Linked DNA regions of Oryza sativa Japonica Group. Each later gene encodes a partner of the first gene's protein in a complex. Links are inferred from orthologs where the notes say so. Each region holds a gene or a part of one and is shown on either strand. Other genes may lie near its edges.

Region 1 (4,337 bases):
CAAAGTAGAACGTTTAGGTAGTATAACATTCTCATCTATAGATGCATCTAATCAGTCCTTCCATTACTTGATCACGTGTAGCAGTAGTTGAACTTGGTATAGTCATAACTGGGATGTCCTCAACAGAACTACTCCCTCCGTCCCAAAAATACTCCCTCCGTCCCAAAAATACTCAACCTAGTATTAGATAAAGTTTTCTAGTACAACGAATCTGGACATACTCTTATCTATGTTCATTAAACTTTTTTGGACGAAGGGAGTAGAACTATAGAAACACAGCCTTAGTGTGGTTAGGTGTTTGCTTAATCCGTTTCCGAGTCGTTTGCGTCCCTAATTATAAATATATGTCAATTGAGATGTTAGGTGAATAATGATACAAATCTATATACCTCAATAAAAGATAACAGTGATAGTTATGCTACCTGCATTCGCATGTTTTATAAATTAGTTCCCAGTATGTCCTCCATTATGCAATAGTCTAATATATGTTTAAATATGAAAAACATATATTCAAATAAATGTGTACTTTAACATAGCAAAACATGGATATTTTGCTAGTGGACAGTAAAACCTACTATTTTTCCCCCTTTCTGCGCGAGCACCCTACACCTTGCGACTACCAATCTGTAGTTTTGCATAGGGGATGGCATTGTTCATGCATAACAATATATATAGATAACACAAGCATGCCACTGTTATATCTTGTACAGCGGCAGCAAACTTGTTAGCCTGGTTAGGTCCAGGCAACAAGAATAAAAGGACATGTCAGGAAATAGAACGAGCTTAAAAAGAAATGCTTGGAACTGCAAATGTGTTACACCCAAAAGCTACGATAAGCTACAAAGTGGGTATGGCAAAATTGTTCATTCTGCACACCTTTGGTCCCTGGTGTGCAAAAATTTCCCCCAAACGCAGCACAACTTAAGCCCTTGAAACCTTTTTCTTAACAGCCTTTGATTTCCTGCTTTTCTTCTGCTTCTTGTATTCCTTGTACAAGTTGATGGATGACAACGTGTGGTTCAGCTCAGCTCTCAATCTCTCATTCTCTGAGATACCTCTTAGTACCGCAAAATGATTTTTTAACTTCTCTTTGAGTTCATCTCCACCCGCAACGCAATCTGATCCCTCGAGCGCTGCAGGGCTTAGGGCAACAAACTCCTTACCACGCCTCTTCTTTCTGCAGTTTAGTGGCAACAATTTATTCGCTGGTTTAGACAATTTCCGTTCCATTGACAAGTCTCTATATGCTTCTAGAGGGCTTGCATTTGAAATTGGAACAGGATTCTGTGTAGGATTCAAATTGGCCATGCTCAAGATATTTGAGGCCATTGAGGAAACAGAGGAATCGTAATGCTTCTGCAGAAGGCTAAGCTCCCATAGGACTGAGGCAAGTGCCCCACTCAGATAAGGATCTTTAGCTTCTGGGTCATATTTCTGCACAAATGAAAGGTAGCATTATTAGGTAAACACAAGCTGTAATTGATGTTGATGAATTGCACAACACAAGGGTAGACAAATACCGCAACTAAGCAAGACAGGGAGCCACCACCAGAATCATTTTCCAACATGTTTCTGCACTTGCTATTCTTTTGAAGAAGATGCTTCAGTGTGATTAATGCTGAAATATTGTTCAAATATGTCAGCAATTATGTCAAAGGAAATGAAACAGATGTTTGTACTTAATACATATTATGTACTGTCCAGGAAGGAAAAACAAACGTACCCCAATGGATCTAATATTTGGACTACAATCAAGGTAGAAAGACTGGGAAAGTGCAAGGCAAAACAAACACAAACCTGCCATGGCTTCTGCAGAACCAAAGGACAAAGCAAAGGTTGCTAGGCGTTTAATGAAAGCAGCTGCTCTTATCATATCCTGCTGTTTGCCTTCCCAGAGAAGTGTCTTCAGAGCATCAGCTAATACCTCACCACGATCTCTGGATAGAGACAGAAATCAGGTTGTGTTCTTAAGTTACTTGAAAACTTTGCAACAGCTATCTTAGACATAACCACCATTCGATTTACCAAAAAATGACAACACGAAAACATTCTGAAAGTGTATTGTTGATGGAAGACACAAAGTGGACCGCCATAAGCCATGAATTAAACATGTTGGTCACTGCTGCCTCCACATTAATAAAATGGTGCTTACCATATGCAAGACTGTATAATGTTCTTCTATTATACATTATAATCGGCATTGGAGTACATGATAAAATGCATTGTCAGTAATCAGCATGGTTATGTGGTATAGCTGTACATAACTACTTCCTCCGTTTCACAATGTAAGTCATTCTAGCATTGAACATCAATATGAATGTGGGAAATGCTAGAATGACTTACATTGTGAAACGGAGGGAGTAGTTATTTATGAGTAATAATAAGCATTTCAATGGTGAAACACTGACCAACAATAAGTAATGTAAGCAAAAAATAACGGAAGAAAAATTTGCTATGATGCTACCTATCCATGAATCTGTGTTTTAGAAAGGACAAGAGTATATATATTTCTTCCCCATCACCAGCACCAAAATAAATAGAATTCAAACCTGTCAGGCCGATACTCCAGAATGAGGTTAAAAAGCTGCACAAAGAAGTCTTGCAGGTCTACATTCAGAGCTTCAAGGTTGCTCCTCCAGACTTTAAATGCAACTATGCAGCACTGCAGACGTTCTGATACAGACAGTGTATTGTCATGTACTGTGCCAGAGTGATGGTCGGTATACCCAGAAAGCTTCTTGAGGCACGCGACAAGTTCACCCATGAAATCCAAATCAATTAAGTGTGAGAATTTTCCTAAACCCTCCAAACATGGAGCAAGTAGTGGGTGTGAGCCATCTGGGGAGACATTAATGACCTTGCCCCTGATGATGATATAATGACTGTCAGCATAGTAACTTTATTCCAAAGTAAGTGAAAGTTTATCATATTGGATAAACTCGAATGGTACAATGCCAGTAATGAAATTGTTATGGCAAAAACTAGTGTGACAACATTAAAGTGCACATACCTGGAATTTGAAATACTCATGCTATGCTTCAAAATCCGAAAGTAAGTCTCAAAAAGAGCAGAGAGTGCTTCTTTCTGTATCCTTCTCCTTTCCTTTGGATCAAGAGTAAAGGAAACAGATCTAAGTTCAGCATCAACCTGCAAAAATAGTAATAATAATAAATAAGTGAATTTCTTATACAGTTTGAGCTATACCTATCAAATTATGCAACAAATGTTACCTCTTCTCTAGCCTTTGAGATCAATTCCTGTTTGGCTTTCTTATTATCACTCACTGGCAATTGCTTTGGGACTTCCTGGTTTTGTCGTCGTTTGTTCTTCTTTGGTTTTCCCTTTTCTTCCTCTGTGTCATCTTTTCCAAGATCATCATCAAATCTCAAAGATAGGAAGACCTTACAGAAAAAAGTGGCCACGATTAGCACATGGAGTTGATTTTCAGCTATGTTGGATGAAATGGGGCAGTGGTCAGCAGCTAGGAATGAGCTGCTGCCCATAGGGCCCAAGCTGGTGAAGTAAGTCCATTAACATATTAATTGCATGGTGAAGATGCGACAAGACAAATAATAACCACATATCACATGTAATAAATACAAATATTGGCACATACCTCAATGCTATCAGGATGAAGCTGGCAATCGTTTAGCTTCACATGATCAGCAATCAATCTCACAGCTTCAACAGTTGCCTCACCACGATGCTTTCCTTCATCTACAAATAGAGACCTTATCGTTTCACAACACATTTTCCTACAAAGAATTGGGGGAAATGCAAGAATGTGAGGACAACATTAAATGGAACAGTTGGCTAAAAAGGTAACCCAGTGTTTCCCATCATTTTAAGTAGACAATTTAGACCATCAGATGATCAAAAATTAAATAAATAAAAAACAGATGATCCACAAATCAAACTACACAAGACATTATTCAAGGAAATCAGTTGCACAGCTAAATCAACATCTAACAGGAAACAATGATTTTGATATAAATTAATACAGGTTACGTAGTCAACCTCACTGCATCATCTGGAGAACTTAAATTTCTTGCCACGCTGGCAAGTATACTTTCACGGAAGTTGAAATGTGGAGCAGTATCTAGTAAAGTACACATGCAACGAACAGCCAGAGCGGAAAAATTTGGTTGCTTCTCCAAGGAGATTAACTTTTGCAGGTATGCCTGAAAAAGCATAGAAGAGCAAAGGAAAATCAAACCCAAGAAATATAACTTCTGAAACTAACTTCCGAATGCAAGGAAAATGTAACTGCATTCGGCTATAGTGCATGGCATGATATATGCACGTTATACACATTATGTGTACCTTTTCAACAAGAC
Region 2 (2,916 bases), on another chromosome or scaffold:
TTTAATTTTAAGTTTAATTAAATTTATAAAAAAACTTAGCAATATTTTCAACACAAAACAGACATATTATCATAATATATTTAATGTTGTATTTAATGAAACTAATTTGGTGCTGTAGATGTTAAATTTTTCTACAAACTTGATTGAACCTAAAGTTTGACTAGAAGAAAGTCAAAACAACTAATAATATGAAAAGGAGGTAGCAGTATTGTTTAGTTGAAAATATTATATGGTTTGAAAATATTTTTATGGTTTAGGTTAATTGTACAGAGCTTTGCAAATGCCAAGGGCTAGTGTTAAGACAAATGTCAAGGGCTAGTGTTAAGACAAGGGAGCTCTTAATTAAGTTAGCGTTGATATATAATGGTGTGAATAACTTTGGCAACGGAGCAAATTGAAATAATGAGGCTCGTTGTTCTCCCCTACTGAATTATCAGTGATCTAAAGTCGTGGAGATTTTGTTTTAGAAAAAGGAATTAGTCCTAATTTTTCTCATGGCTTGGTCAAATGTAGCTTCATATGCTAGTACCAGTTTACAATCAGAACTGAAAATCACAGGTCCACCGATTCATGGACAATAATTTAAGCCGTGCAAAGTAGTGGAATATCCCCATGATTCGCACTAGTTAAGACTGATTTCATGTCTTACAAAGGTTGTAGCCTGTTCAATACTATTTTCGCGTTCTCTTTTTTTTCCCCAAGGAAATTATCACTTGTTTAACTCAGCACACAATCTGCCAGAAAGAAAAATGTATGGAGCAAAATCAACAACATCAGCCAAGCTGAACGATTAAGCATACATAAATAAATAATAACGGTGAAGGAACGCAACGAAATGGCAGAGGTCTTTCTCAATTAAAACAAAATTTTCATGATGCGTCTGTTTCTTTCAAAATTGAAAACACATCATCATCGTTTTCATTATCTCTGGCTAATGCTTCGCCTTCTTCTTGGGATGTGGGATTTTCTCTTTTCTTTTTGTTGTTGACGAACCCTTCTTTGAGGGTTGCCGCTTGTTCCGTTTCTTTGATTTCTCTTTCTTCTGTTTCTTCCACTGGCTGTCTGGGTCGACGAAATCGTCATCGCTGTCATCTTCAACAGGCATAGAGCCATCATCCTCATCTGATTCCATATTCTTGTCCTCATCTTCGTCTTCCTCGTCTGAACTCAAGATCAAATCCTCAACAATATCCTCCTCCGTAGCGACATCGTCGTGATTATGGGCTCGCTTCTTGCTCTTCTCCTTTGGAGTTCTGCAAACCCCCGAAAGGAAACATATAACGTCTACCATTCCAATAAAAGAAACAAAAAGAGGCAAAGAGGAAGGTGATAGCGTACTTGGTTTTCTTCTTTTCAGTCAACAAGTTCTTACTGAATGCAATGGTGTCTTCGCCATCATCTTGTTCATCCTGTCGCTTCTGTGCTTCTGACAACCTCCGTGAAAAGGTTGAGGACTCTGCCCCCACAATAACGCTGATAGGGAAAAGAATGATCAGTAATTTTATTAATTATATGTACTCGCAATATGGAGCATCAAGCATAGCTCCACTCACATGTAAAGACTACTAGAAAATGTTGCATGATAAGACGACGAGGTAAAAAAAAATTGGTGCATTTCTGTTTATAAGTGCTACGACTCAACTGGCTGACTCCTAAATTTAGATGAACATCAATGAAACCAAGTAACCAACCTTGTGTCGTCCAGAGAGTCCATCCTGTCCTGACTTCTCTGATGTAGAGTAGCAACATATTTTGATAGAGGACTTGACTTTGCTTCCTTCTCAACCTGAAATGAACATTATATATCTCACAAAATGACACTAAATGAGTATAACAAATATACAGTGCACATCCAACAGGACCAACCATACCTGTAGAAATGAATCCACGGCTGGATCATTAGGAGAGAATCCAATTCCTGCACGCTTTGAGCTTACAAACTCAGCACTAGCCTTTATCTGGAATCACAAAGGATACAAACATCAGCATACATGCATTCAGTTAGGTACAATTCTCTCTTACATGCTTCACAAACCTGATGGATAAGATCTTTGATCTCTCTCCGGAATCTGTCAGCCTTAACGGTTTTGCAAAAGTTTTGAAGCCGGACAAGTGTTAAAAAGGACATCTCAAAGAAGGCAATGGAGTAGCTCCATTGGGCCAAATGCTTAGCCAACTCATCAACCGCGGAAAAGATGCATGCTTCCTGAAAGGCACGTGTCTTCACTGTTTTCTTATCTACCTGCCAGACAAAAGTACCTATTAAAAGTTTTTTCAAAGTAGTCCTCCCAAAGGAAGTGTTGTATTACGAGAAAATATACCTGTTTAACACTGAACAGATTCACTGCTTTGCCTACAGCATCTGGTTTCCCTCCAAGTTCTTTCATTTCCAGCATATCAAGCAGCAGGGAAGACACCGGAATGAAGGTACCAGTAGCTTCAGCAATGCGATTAAGCATCTTCACACATCTCAGGCGTACAGGAAAGTAACGCGCACTTGGTACCAGGCATGCCACACCATGTATTATCTGGGTTAGTGGATAAGCCAAAGGTCGAAGGTCTTCCTCAGAACTACATCCACACACAACACTTGTCCAAAGCTCAAGGCAGAATATGTATTGCCAATCATAAACTTTTTGGTAGGATTTCTACACAAGAACAAGGTCAGCAAATAACAAGTCAGAAAAGAAAGGCTCAGTTAGAGTAATAGAATATAGAATAGAGAGTAAAACTAAACTAACATAAGAAAGAAAGCAATAGTGTTATCCCAAAGTGGACTCTATTCCTCGATAGTACATATGCAACATTGGAATAATGACATACCTCCATCCGTTTCTTCGTTGGTTTGATACTTTCTTTCTGCTTTTTGTCCTTCGATGTCTTGCAAAATGAAATAGGGACCACAAAACTTGTCAG

Evidence for each region. The genes of interacting proteins can lie anywhere in the genome.
Region 2: nucleolar complex-associated protein 3 (region 1) and nucleolar complex protein 2 homolog share a complex: the UniProt entries of both Arabidopsis thaliana proteins name them as parts of the nucleolar complex. The link is inferred for Oryza sativa Japonica Group from reciprocal best matches to the Arabidopsis thaliana genes AT1G79150 and AT2G18220.

The regions. Positions count from the first base shown.
Region 1 is NC_089040.1:18,357,446-18,361,782, reverse strand, and holds the end of nucleolar complex-associated protein 3, read right to left. Parts: intron 4,182-4,337; coding exon 4,018-4,181; intron 3,756-4,017; coding exon 3,617-3,755; intron 3,402-3,616; coding exon 3,231-3,401; intron 3,148-3,230; coding exon 3,011-3,147; intron 2,865-3,010; coding exon 2,550-2,864; intron 1,938-2,549; coding exon 1,798-1,937; intron 1,619-1,797; coding exon 1,521-1,618; intron 1,435-1,520; coding exon 922-1,434; 3' UTR 618-921; downstream 1-617. UniProt on the Arabidopsis thaliana protein: May be required for synthesis of 60S ribosomal subunits and the transport of pre-ribosomes from the nucleoplasm to the cytoplasm. Also required for initiation of DNA replication.
Region 2 is NC_089044.1:19,542,392-19,545,307, forward strand, and holds the end of nucleolar complex protein 2 homolog, read right to left. Parts: intron 2,881-2,916; coding exon 2,824-2,880; intron 2,649-2,823; coding exon 2,322-2,648; intron 2,243-2,321; coding exon 2,036-2,242; intron 1,959-2,035; coding exon 1,872-1,958; intron 1,787-1,871; coding exon 1,692-1,786; intron 1,474-1,691; coding exon 1,339-1,473; intron 1,254-1,338; coding exon 932-1,253; 3' UTR 643-931; downstream 1-642. UniProt on the Arabidopsis thaliana protein: Together with SWA2, probably involved in pre-ribosome export from the nucleus to the cytoplasm.